5 linked regions of the Oryctolagus cuniculus genome follow. The protein of the gene in region 2 interacts with the protein of the main gene of each other region in a pairwise test. Links are inferred from orthologs where the notes say so. Each region holds a gene or a part of one and is shown on either strand. Other genes may lie near its edges. The genes, in order: TRIM54, MYO5B, RAB25, RAB11B and BNIP2.

Evidence for each region.
Region 1: the proteins of MYO5B (region 2) and TRIM54 interact in binary tests that used the Homo sapiens proteins (3 or more experiments, as listed by UniProt). The two-hybrid records come from large-scale screens. The link is inferred for Oryctolagus cuniculus from reciprocal best matches to the Homo sapiens genes MYO5B and TRIM54.
Region 3: the proteins of MYO5B (region 2) and RAB25 interact in binary tests that used the Homo sapiens proteins (3 or more experiments, as listed by UniProt). The link is inferred for Oryctolagus cuniculus from reciprocal best matches to the Homo sapiens genes MYO5B and RAB25.
Region 4: the proteins of MYO5B (region 2) and RAB11B interact in binary tests that used the Homo sapiens proteins (3 or more experiments, as listed by UniProt). The link is inferred for Oryctolagus cuniculus from reciprocal best matches to the Homo sapiens genes MYO5B and RAB11B.
Region 5: the proteins of MYO5B (region 2) and BNIP2 interact in binary tests that used the Homo sapiens proteins (3 or more experiments, as listed by UniProt). The two-hybrid records come from large-scale screens. The link is inferred for Oryctolagus cuniculus from reciprocal best matches to the Homo sapiens genes MYO5B and BNIP2.

The regions. Positions count from the first base shown.
Region 1 is NC_091433.1:175,681,822-175,685,333, reverse strand, and holds part of TRIM54 (tripartite motif-containing protein 54), read left to right. Parts: intron 1-2,656; coding exon 2,657-2,829; intron 2,830-3,353; coding exon 3,354-3,512. UniProt on the Homo sapiens protein: May bind and stabilize microtubules during myotubes formation.
Region 2 is NC_091441.1:28,139,831-28,143,342, forward strand, and holds part of MYO5B (unconventional myosin-Vb), read left to right. Parts: intron 1-1,108; coding exon 1,109-1,220; intron 1,221-3,512. UniProt on the Homo sapiens protein: May be involved in vesicular trafficking via its association with the CART complex. The CART complex is necessary for efficient transferrin receptor recycling but not for EGFR degradation.
Region 3 is NC_091438.1:42,629,539-42,633,776, forward strand, and holds the start of RAB25 (ras-related protein Rab-25), read right to left. Parts: upstream 2,808-4,238; 5' UTR 2,604-2,807; coding exon 2,561-2,603; intron 1-2,560. UniProt on the Homo sapiens protein: The small GTPases Rab are key regulators of intracellular membrane trafficking, from the formation of transport vesicles to their fusion with membranes.
Region 4 is NW_027208201.1:4,438,435-4,442,446, reverse strand, and holds the start of RAB11B (ras-related protein Rab-11B), read right to left. Parts: upstream 2,807-4,012; 5' UTR 1-2,806. Other genes in the region: ANGPTL4 (angiopoietin-related protein 4), read right to left, coding at 3,274-3,455, 3,986-4,012. UniProt on the Homo sapiens protein: The small GTPases Rab are key regulators of intracellular membrane trafficking, from the formation of transport vesicles to their fusion with membranes.
Region 5 is NC_091443.1:82,563,319-82,567,622, reverse strand, and holds the start of BNIP2 (BCL2/adenovirus E1B 19 kDa protein-interacting protein 2), read left to right. Parts: upstream 1-1,503; 5' UTR 1,504-1,731; intron 1,732-4,304.

The sequences.
Region 1 (3,512 bases), on a different chromosome or scaffold from region 2:
CCTAAGCAATAACATCCAGGAAAAAAATCCCCAGTCTTACAGGCGTTTTTCCCTAACCTGCATCAGAATAAACTCATACAGACCCTCGATGTCCCTGCTGCCACCCGCCACAGTCTTCCTATCGCTCACAGCAGGTGGCTCCATGCTTTGGGAAGCACAGTGAAGGGCTCCAGGCGACGTGAGTCTCGCACCACGCACCGGGCAGCCCTGGAAAGTCCCAGAGATCAGCTTTACTATTTTGTTGCCAGGCAAATGTAGTCCTGGGAGCAAAGTGCACGTGTGTGTGTGTGCACGTGCGTGCGTGTGTGTGTGTGCCAGAGACTGGCAAAAAAGTAGGGCTGGGAGTCGGGCGGAGGCAACTGAAGCTGTCTCAGAAGGGGCAGCCAGGCCGGGCCCAGGGGGGCCGCGGGACCAGGGGCCGGAAGGCCACATGGGAGACGCTGGCCCGTGGTGCCGCGCTGAGCCAGGCCGCAGAGAAGGCCAGGGTGCAGGCCCTCCTGCCCCGTGCCCGCACTCACCTGTGTGCGCTCGGCTTCCTGCTTCCTCTCCCGCAGAGAAAGGCTCTTGCAGCACAGGCCTTGGGGTGGGCTGCCCGCGGAATGAGGGCGTCTCGGCCTCCCGGCTTCCAGGATTAGCCGCTGCGAGGAGCGAGGAGCGTTTAGGAAACTTCTTTAGTGTGGGGGGTGCTGGGGAGAGGCACGTGCTGCCTCGGCTGTGGGTCCTGGCAGCGGGGAATGAGCGGCAGCCCCAGGGGCTGAGGATCCCCCACTCCTGGTTCCCTCTGTTCCCTCTGTGAAAGTTGCGGTAAAAAGCACAGAACGTGAAATTGAACTGTTTTCAAAGTCTTACTATTTTATTGTTATCTATTTGAAAGGCAGTGAGAGGCCGGCACCGCAGCTCACTAGGCTAATCCTCCGCCTGCGGCGCCGGCACACCGGGTTCTAGTCCCGGTCGGGGCGCCGGATTCTGTCCAGGTTGCCCCTCTTCCAGGCCAGCTCTCTGCTGTGGCCCGGGAGTGCAGTGGAGGATGGCCCAAGTGCTTGGGCCCTGCACCCCTTGGGAGACCAGGAGAAGCACCTGGCTCCTGGCTTCAGATCAGCGCGGTGCGCCGGCAGCGGCGGCCATTGGAGGGTGAACCAATGGTAAAGGAAGACCTTTCTCTCTGTCTCTCTCTCTCACTGTCCACTCTGCCTGTCCAAAAAAAAAAAAAAAGAAAAAAAAGGCAGTGAGGGTGTGCCAGCGCTGTGGCGCAGCGGGTTAATGCCCTGGCCTGAAGCGCCGGCATCCCATATGGGCGCTGGTTTGAAACCTGGCTGCTCCACTTCCGATCCAGCTATCTACTATGGCCTGGGAAAGCAGTGGAAGATGGCCCAAGTCCTTGGGCCCCAGAAGAAACTCCTGGTTCCTGGCTTTGGATTGGCGCAGCTCCGGCCGTTGTGACCAATTAGGGAGTGAACCAGTGGATGGAAGACCTCTCTCTCTCTGCCTCTCCTCTCTCTGTGTAGCTCTGACTTTCAAATAAATAAATCAATCTTAAAAAAATAAGAGGAAGAAAGACAGAGAGAGAGACAGAGCTCTTCCATCCGCTGGTTGACTGCTCAGGTACCAGGATTTGTTTCCGTCACAGACGAGCAGGCCGTTCTGGTGGGAAGGAGCCCTTTGGCGCTCTGTGGGACACCTGGCCTTGACACCTGGGTTGCCTTTTCTTTATCTTTGCTTCAGTAACGTCCATCTAGAGTTGCATCACCGATTTTTAGGCTGTAGCCTTTTCCCTCTGTGAAGGGTGTTGATGCTCAGTCATCCCAGGGCAAGCATTTGGCACAGTGGTTAAGTCGCCACCTGGGACGTCCACATATGGGCAGGTGCCTGACCCCACTTCCGATCCCACTCCATGCTGGAGTGCACTCTGAGAGGCAGCAGAGCACGGCTCGAGTGCGAGGGTCTCTGTCATCCACGTGGGGGACCTTCATGGAGTTCTGGGCTCCTGGCTCTGGCCTGGCCCACTCCTGGCTGTTGGGGGCATTCGCGGCGTGAGCCCGTAGATGGGCGCTCTCTCTCCATCTGTGTTTCTCTCACTCTGTGTTTAACATGAAATGCAGTTTGTTTTCATTTGAAAACCTTTGCCTCTGCCTAAGACTCAGAGACACGTGTTAGCGCTGGACATCACCTTCAGTTAGCCCAAGCTGTATTGTATCTGACCGTGTAGTGTAATGACCGCTAGGGCAGGGGATGCCACTGCGGCGTAGTGGGTAAAGCCGCCGCCTGCAGTGCTGGCATCACAAATGGACGACAGTTTGAATCCCAGCTGCTCCACTTCCGATCCAGCTCTCAGCTACGGTCTGGCTCCGAGCCCCTTTCCTACCCCAGCTTTTCCTGTAGAGGCCAACATCTCCCCATCGCTCCAAACTGGACCCCTCGGTAGAGACCCCATCGTGGCTGGGCCCTGACAAGAGCTAGGCTATGGAGTTGAACACTTACAGAGCCAGGCTGGGTGACGAGGCGGGGCCCAGGAACTCCATGGCCACCCGCCTGCCGGAGCTGCCCCGCCCTGCCTCATTCTCCTCCTCCTCCTGCGCCCTCACCACCTTCACCCCTGCTTCCCTCAGTCCTCGCACACCTCGCCGTGCCCGCCTTCTCACAACACCCATCCCTACAGGCCTCCAACCCTCTGTGGCAATCCCGGGGCTCCAGCACCGTGTCTTCAGGAGGCCGCTTCCGCTGCCCATCTTGCAGGCACGAGGTTGTCCTGGACAGACACGGGGTCTATGGCCTGCAGAGGAACCTGCTCGTGGAAAACATCATCGACATCTACAAGCAGGAGTCCTCGCGGTGAGCCGTCAGGGCCGCGTGTGCCGCCTGGGGCACGGCCTGGGGGCTCCGTGGGGGGGGGGGGGCTGTGGAATCAGGCGATCTGCTCCTTCGGTTTGGGGATGCAAGGATGGGCCCAGAGGAGGCAGGGGCTTGCCCCCGGCCACCCAGAGAGGCCAGGCCTCCCTGCCCCACCCAGGCCCAGGTTTCCCCTCTCCCCTCTCATATCTGCTGTCCCGTGGGGCTCCCAGGGCCCCCGAAATGCAGTCTCTTTTCGGATCCACGCCTCCTCCACCTCTTAAGTCCTTCTGTTCTCCAAATTAAGAGCCCCATGGAAGTCACTCACCCACCCAGCAGCACCCACGGCAGGGGCAGGGAAGGTGCTGGTGATTGGTGGAGCTGAAGAGAAGGTGTTGAGGGGCCCCACACGCACGGGCGCTCCTCAGGGGCTGGCACCTGGCCCTCCCTGCCACCCAACCTGCTTGGGTGCTCCCTGGGGCCTGGCCCCTGACCCCGCCACCTCGCCCCTGTGCGCTCCTCTCCAGGCCACTGCACTCCAAGGCCGAGCAGCACCTCATGTGCGAAGAGCATGAGGACGAGAAGATCAACATCTACTGCCTGAGCTGCGAGGTGCCCACCTGCTCCCTCTGCAAGGTCTTCGGGGCCCACAAGGACTGCGAGGTGGCCCCGCTGCCCACCATTTA
Region 2 (3,512 bases):
GGCTTCCAGCCATTACAGCCATTTGGGGAGGGAACAAGATGGAAGATCTTTCTGTTTGCCCCTTTCTCTGTGTCACTCTGCCTCTCAAATAAAGGAATAAGTCTTAAAAACACTGAAGGGGGCCAGCGCCGCAGCTCACTAGGCTAATCCTCCGCCTAGCGGCGCCGGCACACCGGATTCTAGTCCCAGTTGGGGCGCCGGATTCTGTCCCAGTTGCCCCTCTTCCAGGCCAGCTCCCTGCTGTGGCCAGGGAGTGCAGTGGAGGATGGCCCAGGTGCATGGGCCCTGCACCGCATGGGAGACCAGGAAAAGCACCTGGCTCCTGGCTCCTGCCATTGGATCAGCGCGGTGCGCCGGCCGCAGCGGCCATTGGAGGGTGAACCAACAGCAAAGGAAGACCTTTCTCTCTGTCTCTCTCTCTCTCTCACTGTCCACTCTGCCTGTCAAAAAAAAAAAAAAACCACTGAAGGGGCCAGCGTTGTGATGTAGTGTTTAAAGCTGCTGCTTGCAGTACCGTCATCCCATATGGCTGCTGATTTGAATCCCAGCTGCTCCACTTCCTATCCAGCACTCTATGGCCTGGGAAAGCAGTAGAGGATGGCCCAAGTCCTTGGGCCCCTGCACCCGCATGGGAGATCTGGGGGAAGCTCCTGGCTTCAGAGCTCTGGCTGTTGCAGCCATCTGGGGAGTGAAAACAGTAGATGGTAGACCTCTCTATCTCCCTCTCCTCCTCTCTGCATCTCCTTCTCTCTGTGTGTAACTCTTTCAAATTACACACACACACTCTGAAAAGCAAAGCTGCTCTCCAGGGAAGGCCCTGGCGGCTTCAGCAGCGGTAGAGAGAACTCCGCATGCTTGGGTGGAGACCCTGGCCCCTTCTCTGGGTGGTGCCTCGGGATCCACTTCTCCCTGGGTCCTCCGGTGGCACCTGCAGGCATGCGCAGCACCCTGGGACTCGGGGAGGCCTGTAGGGAGAACAGGATGCCCCTGGGGCTGTTTGTTCCATTCTGAGAAGGACTCCTGCCTGATACAAGCCTGCGGAGGCTCCCAGTAGACCTTCCCCCTCCCCAGCAGGGTGTCACCTGTCGCCCCTTTGCTTTCCCTGCAGGTGGGCCTACCACGACTTCTTCAACCGGTACCGGGTGCTGGTCGCGAAGAGGGAGCTGGCCAACACGGACAAGAAGGCCGTCTGCAAGGCTGTCCTGCAGGACCTCCTTAAGGTGCGAGGGGTGGGCTGTGGGAGGCGGCGGCGGCAGTGGTGGTGGTGGTGGTGGTGGTAGTGTTCTGCCCGTTGAACCTCTGAGCTATTCCCCGTTTCCCCACATCCCTTACTAAACCCGCCAGAGCACTCTGCACCTGCAGGAGATGGAATTCTTCATGCAGCTCGCTGGGGTGGCTGCACGCCGCTGTCCCAGGAGCTCCCAGACTCCCCAGGGCCTCCATAGCTCAGCCTGCCTGACCTCCGGAGCCCAAGCATAGCCCGGAAGTCGGCAGAGGGGCAAATGGCTGCACTGCTGGGGTCTTGCCTGTTTGCACACCCAGCCTGAGGCTCTGCTCGTTTCCACAGTTTAAATAACACAGCAGGTTTACGCTGGAATCTCACCTGGCAGAGCTATAAAAGCAGAGCTGTTGGGGGCCTTTTGGGAGAGGCAGGTCCTCAAGTGCTTCCATAGCTGCCGGAGCTCAGCGACTGTAGCAGATGGCTGTCACTGTCTCAAGGGACTAGGTCATAGCAAAAGTCATCCTTTGGGGAAGGTGATGTAAGAGTTACTTCAGGCCGGCGCCATGGCTCAAAAATAGGCTAATCCTCTGCCTGCGGCGCCGGCACACCGGGTTCTAGTCCCGGTTGGGGTGCCGGATTCTGGCTCGGTTGCCCCTCTTCCAGTCCAGCTCTCTGCTGTGGCCCGCGAGTGCAGTGGAGGATGGCCCAAGTGCTTGGGCCCTGCACCGCATGGGAGACCAGGAGAAGCACCTGGCTCCTGGCTTTGGATCAGTGCGGTGTGCCGGACGCAGCACGCTGGCTGCAGTGGCCATTGGAGGGTGAACCAACAGTAAAGGAAGACCTTTCTCTCTGTCTCTCTCTCACACTGTCCACTCTGCCTGTCAAAAAAAAAAAAAGTTACTTCAAGGATTTCAAATTTTAGCTGAGACTTTGCCAGGAAAGTCTACCCAGACATAGCTGCCTGGTGAGTAATCAGGGTTTGGGTGGTGGTTTGTCTTCTGCCCATCTTAGCTGCTCACATCTGTGGCTGTAGACGGTGCAAGATGGTGCACTCGAGGCATATGTAGTTTTTTTTTTTTTTTTTTTTTTTTTGACAGGCAGAGTGGACAGTGAGAGAGACAGAGAGAAAGGTCTTCCTTTTTTGCTGTTGGTTCACCCTCCAATGGCCAGTGCGTCCAGCGCGGCCAGCGCGCTGCAGCCGGTGCACTGCGCTGATCCGAAGGCAGGAGCCAGGTCCTTCTCCTGGTCTCCCATGGGGTGCAGGGCCCAAGCACTTGGGCCATCCTCCACTGCACTCCCGGGCCACAGCAGAGAGCTGGCCTGGAAGAGGGGCAACCGGGACTAGAACCCGGTGTGCCGGCGCCGTAAGGCGGAGGATTAGCCTAGTGAGCCATGGCACCAGCTGCATATGTAGTTTTAAAGCTCCCTTTAAACAATGGGGAGCCCCTTGCCTCACTCCCCCCACCCCCTCTGTTTTTTCTCACAGTGGGGCGATGGTCTGGATAATCGAGGCTTGTGGTTAGTTAGTTGCACTCCGGGTGGTTGAGATTTTTGCGTGGTTCACCTGTCAGGGTCCACATCTTAGCATAGCGTTTCTCATGGGTGAGAAGAGAAATCTGCTCATGTGCGGCTGCTCTCGGTGAAGAGGAGGCACCAGGCGAGCTAGTCCTCACTGCTCCTGGGAGCTGGCTGCCTGGTGTGCGGCCCGGGCCTGTGCACAGCCCGCTGTACCCTGTGGCTGCCTTCTGGGGCTCGTCCTGTGCCGCACTTCTCTGAGGTTAATAGCAGAACCTCTACTTCCAAGCAGCAGATACGGTAGAGGGACCCAGGTCAGACTGCGGGGGTCACCTTCCACCCGCGTTACCCACTGCCTCAGCTGGCAGGGCCAAGTGCTGGGCCTCTGATGCACCCATATGTGGGGCCTACTGGGCACGGCTGCCCTTCCTCCCACTGATGAGCAGGCTGTCTAAGCCTTCGCAGTGGACTCAGAAACCATGCCCACCAATGCAGTCTAACTGTGCACAATTAGTCTCTGAAAACGTGTGGCCCCGCCAGCGAGCCAGCTAAGTGGCCGTTGGTGTAGAGAGAGCTTTCCGCCGCCGTGGATGGGCTGTCCCAGTGTTCTGTCCCAGCAGGAAGAGTGGGCTGACTTCGCTGTAGCAGGTGCAGCTCAGGCTGTGATTGCAGGTGCAGAGAAACCTCCTGTAATACTTTTTTGGGGTGGGAGGTTGATTGCCATCTGTTACTGTGTGGGCCGCTATGTGATCATTTGAGGATAGTTGTTTTTTTA
Region 3 (4,238 bases), on a different chromosome or scaffold from region 2:
GGTGCTGGGCCAGCTCTGTGCCCATCAGCAGGTTACTAAGCCTCTGTGAAGCTTCTTTTCTGTATGGAAAGTGGCAAGAAGAATGGTCTCCACCTTAGGGGTAGATGGAGTCCTGGGCCCGGGTCTCCCGACTGTGGGTGAGCCAGGGCCTGGGGGGAGTGTCAGGGGCTGGTGTCCGTACAACTCACCCATTGCGCCAGCACTGAGCCGAGCACCCAGGATCAGAGGAGGCCCCCCAGGGTGGCCCCAAGGTGGAAAAGTGGTGCCCAAGGACTGGGACTATGTATTTTGGGCTGTGGGCTCTGTTCAGCCTGTGACTAGCTGGGCAAACTTGAACAAGTGGCTCACCTTTTCTGGATTTCACTTCCTTGCTTGTACAAACTATAAAGGCCCCGTCTGACATTAAAAATGCAGTATTTGTGTCGGCCATGAAAGAGTTGTGTGTGTATTTGACTGAGGATGCTTTAAGGTTCATGGAAAATGGAATTAAAAGATAAGTTTATTCCAGTGCAAAAAATTTGTGAAGTCTATGCAGCATTTGTCATAATATGCATTTGTCATAAACTTTTTAAAGATGGCCGGCGCTGCAGCTCACTAGGCTAATCCTCTGCCTTGCAGCGCCGGTACACCGGGTTCTACTCCCGGTCGGGGCGCCGGATTCTGTCCCGGTTGCCCCTCTTCCAGGCCAGCTCTCTGCTTTGGCCAGGGAGTGCAGTGGAGGATGGCCCAAGTACTTGGGCCCTGTACCCCATGGGAGACCAGGATAAATACCTGGCTCCTGCCATCGGATCAGCGCAGTGCGCCGGCCGCAGCGCGCTGGCCGCGGCAGCCATTGGAGGGTGAACCAACGGCAAAAGGAAGACCTTTCTCTGTCTCTCTCTCTCTCACTGTCCACTCTGCCTGTAAAAAAAGAAAAAAAAAACTTTTTAAAGACCTCTGGTGTGTGTATTGTGGTGTGTGTGTGTGCGTGTGCACACCTGCCTCTTCCCTGTTGGGAGTGCAGCTCCTAGTTGCTCCAAAGTTGCCCAGGAAAAGTTCTTTTGAGTGCTGTGGCTTTGTGACCTCAGGGAAGCTAATTACCCTGCCTCTAAGTCTCAGTTTCTCATTGCAAAACAGAGATTCTGTTGGTTAACACGGTTTGAGCGCCTACTGTGTGTGCCAGGCACTGTGCTACAGGCTCACCAGTACTCGCTAAATCTTCACGACAGTGCCGTGAGGTGAGTACCATTATGATTGTCCTCATTTTTATCAACAAGGACACAAACACTCCAAATAACACAGCTAATGCAAACACAGAGGTGTGCCGTCCAGAGCTGCCGTGCAGCACCTGCCCATCACCCCAGCCCCACGCGCTGCAGGCAGTACAGGCAGCAGCCAGCCTCAGGCCCCCAGCTCCTGCCACGCCCGCCCTGGCTATACGTGGCTATAACAGCGGCCTCATTGAAGTCAGCCTCTCCCAGGCAGCCCGCACCCCGTGCCTGAGCAAGGTGAGGCTAGCAGCGCTCCCGCCCTGCATAGAGCCTGCGTGCAGCCCAACTTCTCCCTGTGCCCAACCCTGTTTCCTCCCCTGCCTTTCACCAGTGTTGCTCTAACCTTCTCAGTGTCTGCCTCTGGACACTGCCACCTGCTGCGACTTTAAGGTGGCAGAGCTGAGACCTGAACCCTGGCTGGGCCCTGACCATTGGGCTGGACTGCCTCTCAGAAGGAAAGATGACTTTCAGGGGGCATGTTAGGGTTTTTAATGAGATAGGGGCTGGTATGGAGGCAGGGCTAACCCCCAGCCTGTCGGCGTCCTTCCTGGGAAAGATGCCGGGAGTACAGGTTCCCCAGCTTGCGTGAGGGTGGGGCCGAGGCTGGGAGAGGCAGTGGGGTGGGGTGGCTGGAGGGGGAAGCATTGGCTCTACCAGTCTGCCCTGTCCTGAAGGAGGCGTGGAGGTTGGGTTGGGGAACACAGAGGGGCCAAACACAGGGGCTGAGATAAAGAAGCAGGAAAGATACACACACATACTTGCAGGGACAGCCAAGTGGAACCCAGGGCCTGGGGCCTGAGTCCAAGGAGTCTGCGAGGGAGAGACAAAGCTCCGGCCCAGCAGCAGTAAGCAGTAGCTTCCTCTGGAGCCGGCCAGCCCCTGCCTGATGCATTACATCTGCCCTTTGTATGTCTCCCCCAGCCCTAGGGCGAGGCAGCTCTCTCCTTTCCTTTTCTATACACCTGCCTGGAAAGTCGACTCTCTTTCCCTTGTTCCCAGAGGGGAAGTCCTTTCTGAAGTCTGACCTCCATCTCCGGCGCTGCAGGGGCTGACTCTTGGGGGGGGGGTGGGCGGGGAGTCGGGCAGGGGAGCCTAACTTGGCACTTTCAGGGTGATCAACACACTTGGCAGCCCCTGGACTTTTGCCCTGAGACCCGCCCCCACTCCCCCTGCAGCTTGCTTTCTTAGCAGGAGGGCATGATGACCCTGGGGGTCCTGGGACCAGATCAAAACACAAGAGGGGCCCTCTCTGGCTGTGTTTGTTCCTTCCCGGGCCTCTCACACTTCCTCCCTTCGGGACCCGAACTCACCTTTGAAGACAAAGTTATAATCTTCCTCCTTTCCGTTCCCCATCTTGGCTCCGCATGGAGGGTGCAGGTGTCTTTGGGTGGGTCGGGGAGGGGGGGCAGAGGTGACAAGGCAGTGCGCTGGCTCAGTACCCTCAACCCTCGGCTCTCGGGAGACCTGGGCCCGCCCCTCCTCTCATTGGGGGTGAAGCGACTTCTCCAGCCGGAGAGACTGAGGGCGAGCGGAAGCCAGGCAGGCAGCTGGGGGTGCAGCAAGGAAGCGGGCAGACGGAAGCTGAGAACAGGAAGAGCGGGCGACTGGAGACCTGGGGCCCAGGTGGGTGGAGAGATGATGACGTCAGACAGGTTAGACAGGTTGGGTGTCTGCTCTCCCTGCTGGGCTCCCGCGCATGCAGCAGAGCCAATGCTAGGGGGGCCAGAGTCGGGGAAGAAGCTTGGACAGGCACAGGATCTTCAAAGGGCTGGATCCACACGGATCTGTGGCGAGGGGGCCAAGCCACCAGGGAGAAATAGGCCCCCCTAGGGCACAGAAAGTCCCTTGGCTTCCTGTTTCTCCTTCAGAACTTCTGGTTGGGGGGTTGCTGGGGGTGCTAGAAGTAGGGCTGTTGCTGGTGTGGGGCCGGGCTGCCAATCACCTGCTGCAAGGCAGAGCTGTGGGAGCTGCACTGCCTCCCTCCCTGGGACAGCCCTGGGCCTGGGCCAGGTGGAGCTGGGCTTGCAACCTCCCTGCTTCCCTACACAGACCTGCTTTAAGGACACTGGGTAGGGGAGACCTAGGGCAGAAAGCGCCTGCTGGGGCAGGACCTGCAGGTGAGGCCTCTGAGAGCCCTCCTAGTTTCTTTCACTCCCTGCACAGGACTGGAGAGACACACACACACACACACACACACACACACACACACCAATGCATCTTGTTGAGGCTGGTGTTTGGTGCACTTGTTAAGTCACTGCTTGGGCTGCCTGCACCCCGTATCAGAGTGCCTGGTCCAGCGTCTTGCTAACAAGCACCCTGGGAGGCAGCAAGTAATAACTCAGGTCCTTGAGTCCCTGCCACCCAAGCTGGGAGAACCTGAGGAGTCCTGAGCTCCCAGCTTTGACCTGACCCAGTCCTGGTTGTTGTGGGCATTTGGGAGTGAACCAGTAGATGGAAGATCTCTCTTTCTCTCTTTCCCCTTCAAATAAAAAAAAAAAAAATTTAAAAGGCATCCTTGGGGCTGGCATTGTGGTGCACTAAGTTAAACAGCCACCTGCAACTCCAGCATCCCAAATGGATGCTTGTTCAAGTCCTGGATGCTCCACTTCTTTTCTTCCTCTTCTTTTTTTTTAAAAGATGTGTTTATTTATTTGAAAGTCAGAGTTACAGAGAGGCAGAGACAGAGAGAGAAAGGTCTTCCAACCACTAGTTCACTCCCCAAATGGCTCCAACAGCCGGAGCTGGGCCCATCCGAAGCCAGGAGCTTGGAGTTTCTTCCAGGTTTCCATGTGGGTACAGGGGCCCAAGGATTTGTGCCATCTTCTACTGCTTCCCCAGGCCATAACAGAAAGTTAGATTGGAAGTGGAGAAGCCAGGTCTCAAACTGGCGCCCATACGGTATGCCGGCACAGCAGGCAGCAGCTTTACCGGCTGCATCACAGCACCGACCCCTACTGCTCCACTTCTTTTTTTTTTTTTTTATTTTTT
Region 4 (4,012 bases), on a different chromosome or scaffold from region 2:
TATGGGTGCTTAACCCACTGTGCCACAATGCTGGCCCCTCTCCTGTACTTTTTATCCTTATTTTACAGTGTACTCCTACTTGTAGAAAGTTGACTTTTGGCGCAGGTGTTTGGCACCGTGGTTAAGTCACTGCTCGGGATGCCTGCCTCCTCCTACACTGGAAAATCTGGGTTTGCACCTGAGCTACTCTGCATCGCATTCAGCTTCCTATTGATGCACACCCTGGGAGGCAGCAGGTGATGGCTCCAGTACCAGGGTCCCTGCCACCTACTGGGGAGATCCAGATGGAGTTCTAAGCACTTGTCTTTGGATTGGGCCAGCCCTGGCTGTTGTGGGCATTTGGAGAGTGAACCAGTAGATGGAAGATCTCTCTCCATGTCTCTGTCTGTCTCTGTCTTTCAAATGAAATGAAAATAACGTTTACTGTAGAGCAGTCTGCCGCATTACACCAGCAAGACCCTTGTGTATGTCATGTATACTGAGTCTCCATTGCGCCAAATGGCCACGTGCATCAGTTGAGCTATACCTTCCAGCTTTGTGCAGGTGCACGGCAGGAGCACACACGACAGAACTGGCTCACAATACACTCTCACAGCGTGTCCCCGTTCCTGAGACCAAGCACGTCCTTCAGTGTCTTCATAAAGCAGTTCCCCAGCTAGAATCCTAAAGCACAGGCATTGTTTTACTTTCATCAACTCTAATTTTCCTGACCTATTTACAGCGAATGATTTGGTTTTGCCGATGCGGTAGAGCTATGATTATATATTTTTAATGTTTTTTTTTTTTTTGGCCGTATTGGAAAGACAGAGATGGTTCATCTGCTGGTTCACTCCCTCAGATGCTTGCAACAGCCAAGTCCAAACACCAGGAGCCTGGAACTGGCGTCCCAAGTGGTGTCTTCACCGCTGTGCTGAATACCCACCCTTATGACTACATTTAAAAAGGAAAATCTGGGTCAGGAGGTCCTGATTACGTCTGGGAATGAGCTGCTCACTTCACTGTCCAAGTGTCCCGGTGTGGATCATCAGTCACAGGCCGCCCTGTCTGTAATAGGAGGGGCTATGGCATTCAGGTCAGTGAGGGCAAAGGGTCTTTCTGCTCGCTAGAATAGCCCGGGCATCTGATACAGGACTTGGTAGGCAGTAGCTACTCAATAAATACTGAATTTGAGGACTGGCATTGTGGCACAGGAGGTTAACTCGATACATCTGGGAAAGCAGTGGGAAATGGCCCAAGTCCCTGGGGTCTTGCCACCCACATGGGAGACAGGGGTGGAGTTCCAGACTGCTGGTTTCAGTCTGGCTCAGGCCTAGGTAGTGAACCAGCAGATGGAAGACTACCTCTCTCTGTCTGTTCTTCTGCCAAATACGTAAGTATATCTTTTAAAAAGCTAAATCTTAAATTTCTATTGCCATAAAAAAACGTCAACTTAGTGGCCAGCACTGGGATGTAGTAGGATAAGCCTCTGCCTGCAGGGCTGGCTTTCCCATATGGGTGTCGGTTTTAGTCCTGGCTGCTCCTCTTCCAATCCAGGTCCCTGCTAAATGGCCTGGGAAAGCAGCAGAAGATGGCCCAAGTGCTTGGGCCCCTGCACCTATGTGGGAGACTGGGAAGAAGCTCCTGGCTCCTGGCTTCAGATCAGCGCAGCTCTGGCCGATGCAGCCATTTGGCCATTCCTTGCAGATGGAAGCTCGCTCTCTCCCTCTCTCTTCCTCTCGCTAGCCCTGCCTCTCAATAAATAAAGCTATAGGGAAAAAAAAGAGAGAGAGAGAAAATTCCAGAGTAGAAAATATGTAGATATGGTGCAAAAAATTTTTTGAAAAATTTACCAAAAATCCTGCATTCGTATTTACAGTCAGCTGTATGAAGGTACTTCCAAAAGTCTGTGGGGGATGGGCGTTTGCTACAGTGGTTGATGCCACTTGGGACACCTGCATGTCATGCCGCGGGGTCCAAGTCCCACCTCTGCTTCCTTTTTTTTTTTTTTTTTTAATTTATTTGACAGGCAGTTAGACAGTGAGAGAGAGAGAGAGAGAGAGAGAGAGAGAGAGAGAGAGAAAGGTCTTCCTTCTGTTGGTTCACTCCCCCATATGGCCGCTATGGCCGGTGCTGCGCCAGGTGCCGAAGCCAGGAGCCAGGTGCTTCTCCTGGTCTTCCATGCAGGTGCAGGGCCCAAGCACTTGGGCCATCCTCCACTGCCTTCCCGGGCCACAGCAGAGAGCTGGACTGGAAGAGGAGCAACCAGGACAGAATCCGGCGCACTGACCGGGACTAGAACCCGGGGTGCTGGCGCCACAGGCGGAGGATTAGCCAAGTGAGCTGTGGTGCCAGCCAACCCACCTCTGCTTCTTGCTAAAGCAGATCCTGGGAGGCAGTAGGTGATGGCTCAAGTACTTGGGTTCCTGCCACCCGCATGGGAGACCTGAACTGCCTAGCTTCAGCCTGATTCAGCCCTGGCTGTTGCAGGTATTTGGAGAGTGAACCAGAAAATGCGTGCTCTGATCTCAAAAAAAAAAAAAACAAAACTGAGATTCTTTTGCGTCAATGTGGTTGCGAAGGGATTTTACAGCTTCAGTTTCTCTGTTAACCTGCTTGTGCTGGGACTGAAGCGAGTGAGGATTTTCTCATGATTTTGCAAAGGAAAACACGCTGGGCGAGAGGATAAATAAAGCAAAGTGACATCAGTGGAGGGTGGCGGCTCAACCAGCCTTGTCCTCAGGAGACCTGGGGGTACGTCCTCCCCACCCCGGCACATGTTGATGTGGACTTTGTGCGCTTTTAAAAAACAAACCAAAGGCCAAAAAAAAAAAAGGACAAAATGTTCCGAAGTTGCTTTTATTCCCAAGAATCCTGTGAACCCCGCCTGGACACCGCTGCGCCAGCTCACACCACGGCAGCACCGTGAGGGCGCCCCGGTGCCCCGCACCAGTCAATGTGACTGAGTCCGCCGTCGAAGGCCAGCCTGGCCATCTCCGAGTGGTCCCTCTGCGTCCCCCACTCCTCGGGCGGGCGAGGAGGAGGACTCTGAATGCCCCTGAGTCCCACGCTTCCACGGTCCCGTGCGTGGCCCTGGTTCTTCTCCATGAACATCCTGTGTGGCTTCCCGCTCAGACAGGGAGCCTCTCTCAAGTCTCGGGCATCTGCTCTGTCCACCAGGCTCCAAATGGCTCCTGCGTGGAGCCCCTGCCTGGGCAGGGAGTGGCCGGCCACCTCCTGGGCCCAAGCCAAAGTCAGTGTCCACGAGGAGCCTGGGTGCAGGCCCCAGTGAGGAGGCTAGGAGGCCGCCTCGGCTCCCGCAGGCCGGATCAGCATGGTGGTGGCCTGCAGCGGGTAGTAGCGGCCCCGCCAGGTCTTCCAGAAGATGCCTTTCTTCCGCTGCCGCCGCTGCCGGGGAATGGAGTGGAAGTACTGGCCGTTGAGGTTGGAGTGACTGCAGGTGCCGAACCACCAGCCACCTGCAGGGCAAAGGCAGAGGAGAGGGGACAAGTCAGGACAGGGCTGGGGCCGGACCGAGCTTGGGACCCTACACTGGCAGTGACTGTGAAGTCTACAGGAGATGCAGCCGTGTTAGGGCCCCTGGGCACCCCCTTGCCCTGTCATCACAGTGAAGCAGCTCCCGTGACCCGTGACCACAACAAGTCAGGTCTCCATGCCTGGCACAGGGCACATGGCTCCCACTTCTCAAACACAGTTGTCACATCTGAGATCAATTTATACGAGCGAGCTCAGGCCGAACGAAACGACCGATACTCCACTCACTACTTTTGACCCCTTCAAAAGGCACTTTCGCGGGTTCCACTTCACAGCCTGAGTGCCATGGTTATACCCATTTTAAAGATGGGAAAATTGAGGCTAGAGGGCCCCAAAGGTATCCAGCAAGTAAGAAGAAGATAGGGGCAGGGAACAGGTGCAATGTGGAGCTGAAGACAGGACAGGGCAGCAGTGAGGGGCATGACAGGATTGGTGGGGGTCAGGGCCTGCTCACCAGTCAGGCTCTTGGCACAGTTAAGGT
Region 5 (4,304 bases), on a different chromosome or scaffold from region 2:
AAATTAAGGTGCAGAGTTTAGAAATCCATAGAGCAATTTTACAAGAAATGCTACAGCTGGTGACTGTAATAAAAATATTTTCATTTGGAGTTCATAGACCTTTTTTCATTTCATTTATATTTTATTAAAATATGATTCACAATTGGAAAAAAAATTTTTTTGACAGGCAGAGTGACAGAGAGAGAGAGAGGGAAAGGTCTTCCTTTTTTCCATTGGTTCACCCCACAATGGCTGCTGCGGCTGGTGCACCGCGCTGATCCAATGGCAGGAGCCAGGTGCTTCTCCTGGTCTCCCATGCAGGTGCAGGGTCCAAGCACTTGGGCCATCCTCCACTGCCTTCCCGGGCCACAGCAGAGAGCTGGACAGGAAGAGGAGCGACCGGGACAGAATCCAGCACCCCACTGGGACTAGAACTTGGTGTGCACCACTGGGACTAGAACCTGGTGTGCTGGTGCCGCAGGTGGAGGATTAGCCAAGTGAGCCACGGCACCGGCCAGAAATTTTTAAAATGATAATAAACTGATGGCACTCCAGAGATAGTTTGAGAAACACTGCTCTAAAGCTGTTCAAAATAAAGAGGATTTGGGATCAACTTGGTGGCCAAACAGGTTAAGCCTGTTCAGGTCCCAGCTGCTCCACTTCCCATCCAGCTTCCTGCTAAGGTGCCTGGGCAAGCAATGGGGGATGGTGGTAGTGCCTGGGCCTGGGGCACCTAAGTGGAAGACCCGGATGGAGTTCCTGGCCTCTGGCCTTGGGTCTGGCCCAGCCCCAGTCCCAGCCCCAGCCTCAGCACTTGGGCCATTTGGAGAGTGAACCAGGGATGGAAGATCGATGTTTCTCCCTCTCTTTCTAACTCTACCATTCAATTAAAGAAGTAAATCTTTACAGAGAAAGTTTTGCCGAACGCTTATTTGTTTATTTATTTGGAAAGTCAAAGTTAACAGAGACAAGGAGAGAGAGAACATCTTCCATCCGCTGGCAATAGTCCGCTGGAGCCAGGAGCTTCATCCAGGCCCCCAAGTGGGTGCAGGGGCTCAAGCACTTGGGCCATCTTCTACTGCTTTCCCAGGTGCATTAGCAGGGAGCTGGATCAGAAGTGGAGCAGCTGGGACTCGAACCTGCGATCAGAACCACAACAGCAGCCCCTAAATGAGACTGCCTTGAGATCTACATGCCTGAAAGTAAGCTTCGCATATATTTCCTCCCCTCGGGTCATTTACTTTATACAACACAGGCACTGTAGCGATAGTAAAAACAAGCAGAAGAAAAATAGCAATGACCCTGAGTTCGCAGGCGTCCTCACCGCAGGGAAAAGCGGAAAAAAGAGAGTAGAGACCCAAAAGCCAAGGGCTGCTCCAGTTGCCGCAAGTGCGCACGCGCAGGTATTAGCCCGGGACAGCGGAGGAGGGAGCAAAGCTGTGGGTTTGACTAGGAAGCCACGCCCCCACGCCCCGGCCGCGCCCCCCCACGCCCCGGCCCCGCCCCCGCCTCCCGCAGAGCCTAGAAAGGGTCAGGATGCTGTCACTTCCGCCCGGGCTGCTTTTTGCGTCCGGGTCAACTGCTGCCGCTGCAGCTGCCGCTGGGGCTGCGGCCGGGGACTAGGCTGGGTTGTGCACCGCTGACCGAGAGGAGCGGGCTCCTCTCGGCGCCGTCTTCTGCGACCTGGCAGTCAGCACCACGTCGCCGGCCTGGAGGGTAGAAGAGGACGAGGAGGCCAAGGCTTCCTCCGGGGTGAGTGCGGCCTGGGAGGGCTCAGCACGGCGAGTCCGGGCGCCGGGAACTGGGCTGGGGGCGCACGTCTGAAGGGGCGCTTGCCCAAGGCCGGCTGCTGCGGAGCGGAGGCCCAGGGCGTTTTCCGTTGTTCGGGGTGCGCTCGAACCTGCTTGGGAGGCGCCTTCCGGCTCCCCGCCCGGCTCAGGTCCCCGCCCTTGGCTCGGCTCCTTGTGTGCGTTTGCCAGCCTTGCACCCCCAGCTCCGTCGCTTTTCCGTTTTTGTTGCTTGTGCCGGGGATGGAACCTTCCCCCGTGTCTGCTCCTCCCTCCACCCGGGGTCTGGGCGCGGTGACGGGCCGCGTTGGTTCCGTACTGGTGGTCTGAGTCTGTCCTGTTGCAGAACAAAGGAAACTTGGACTTGTGTGGCGTGCCGCGTACCTTCGGGGGTTAGGCACGGAAACAGCAAACAGGGCTTTATAGACGGCCCCGGGCGAGCTCGGCCAAATACCGGGTGTGTGCGTGAAAAGCTGCGTCCCTCCGTGTTTACAGACACGGCCTGTTAAGTACCTGGCGAGAAAGGGTTTGATGTCCTGGGTGCGTCCGCTGCCCCTGGAGAGCTAAGCTACTTGATCAACCCGTGTTAAATCAGAAATGTGTTTCGATCTTTAATACGTTGCTTTGAAACTGACCTCGTCTGTCTGGGGGGGCTCTGCGCAGACAGCTTTTCTGTGTTCATTAAGGTAGTCCCAGTGCCTCCCAGTTGGTTGAGTGAAGTGAGTGCATTATAGTGGTGCTTTTTCCATCCTTGCCTTTTTTTTTTTTTTTTAAACGGGGGAGTCTAACTTAAGTACTGCTTGATTTTTTACTTTCAGTAAAATGTCTCCTTTTTCTGATGTTTTATGAGAGCTTCTGCAGTTGTAGAAGAAATTTTGTAATTTGTAAATGGCTACATTTCGCCAGAATTTTAATGGAAGTTACCTAGTGAAGTTAACGTTCTGACTAGTAGTTTCTGAGTCATCTTGCACGTTTTCTCCTTAGCTCTTATTTTGTAAACTGCGTTCCTGGTCTTGATCATCTTTCCTCCTGCAGCCTGAAGTTGGGCTTAGAAAGTATGACATATCTTCTGCAAACATGAACTTGAACTAGGTTGTCATCAAGCAAGGAAGGTTCTTGTGACTTGCAGGCATTACGGAACCTTTGAAACTAAGTGTACCAGATCCGGCCATGAGACTTACCGTGTATAAAGCTGCCAGTGGAGGAGCTCCGGGATCCAGGATGTGGTGTCATTTGCTCACATAAGACAGAACAGGGATAATAATACCAGTGTCGGCGCCTCACAAAAGTTGTCGGCTGGAGCAGATGAGATGATGGTTGTACAAGTGTCAGTAAGTGGTGAAAAGCACTGTTTTGGACAGGGCACTGTTCATTCTAACTGGATTAATGCTTGAGCGATAAGGATAAGAGCTATCTAGAAAAAAAAAAAAAAAGACACAGACCCAGATCCAGTATATTAACCTTGACTGACATTGGATCAAAAGGTGTCTTGTTAAGAGTACTTCATATAAAGCAAAAATACTATGATATGGTGATAGTAATATCACACAGTTGTTAAGCTCTTTTTAACGGTCTCTAGTATGTTCTGCATACTGATCACTTTTTGTTAAGATTTCTTTATTTATTTGAATGGCAGAGTCAGAGAGGGGAGAGAGATCTTGCATCCACTTGTTCACTCCCCAGATGGCCGCAACAGCTGGGGCTGGGCCAGGAGCCTGGAACTCCATGTAGGTCTCCCATGTGGGTGGCAGAGGCCTAAACACTTGAGCCATCTTCTGGTGCTTTCCTGGGCCCATTAGCAGGGAGCTGGATCAAAAGCTAGAACTCAGGGGATGCCAGTGGTAGCTTAACACACTATGCCACAACAGCGGCCCCTGCATACTGATATTTTGAGTTAACATTTCTCATAGAGATCTCATTTATTTTTTTTTAAAGATTTATTTACTTATTTGAAAGGCAGAGTTACAGTTAGGCAAAGGCAGAGAGAGAGAGACAGGTCTTCCATCCACTGGTTCACTCTCCAGATGGCCGCACTGGCCAGAGCTGGTCCGATCCAAAACCAGGAGCCGGGAGCTTCTTCCGGGTCTCCCATGAGGGTGCAGGGACTCAAGGACTTGGGCCATCTTCTGCTGCTTTCCCAGGCCATAGCAGAGAGCTGGATCAGAAGTGGAGCCAGGTCTCGAACTGGCAGCGATATGTGTGCCAGCACTGCAGGCGGCAGTTTTACCTGCTGTGCCACAGCCCCAGCCTTTCATTTTATTCTTAAAAACTTATATGATAGGGCCACGCAGTGACACAGTAGGTTAATCCTCTGCCTGTGGCGCTGGCATCCCATATGGGCGCCGGTTCTAGTCCTGGATGCTCCTCTTCCAATCCAGCTCTCTGCTATGGCCTGGGAAAGCAGAAGATGACCCAGATGTTTGGACCCCTGCACCCACGTGGGAGACTGGGAAGAAACACCTGGCTCCTGGCTTCAGATCAGTGCAGCGCACTGGCCGTAGACCTTTCTCTCTGTCTCTCTCTCTCTCTCACTATCTA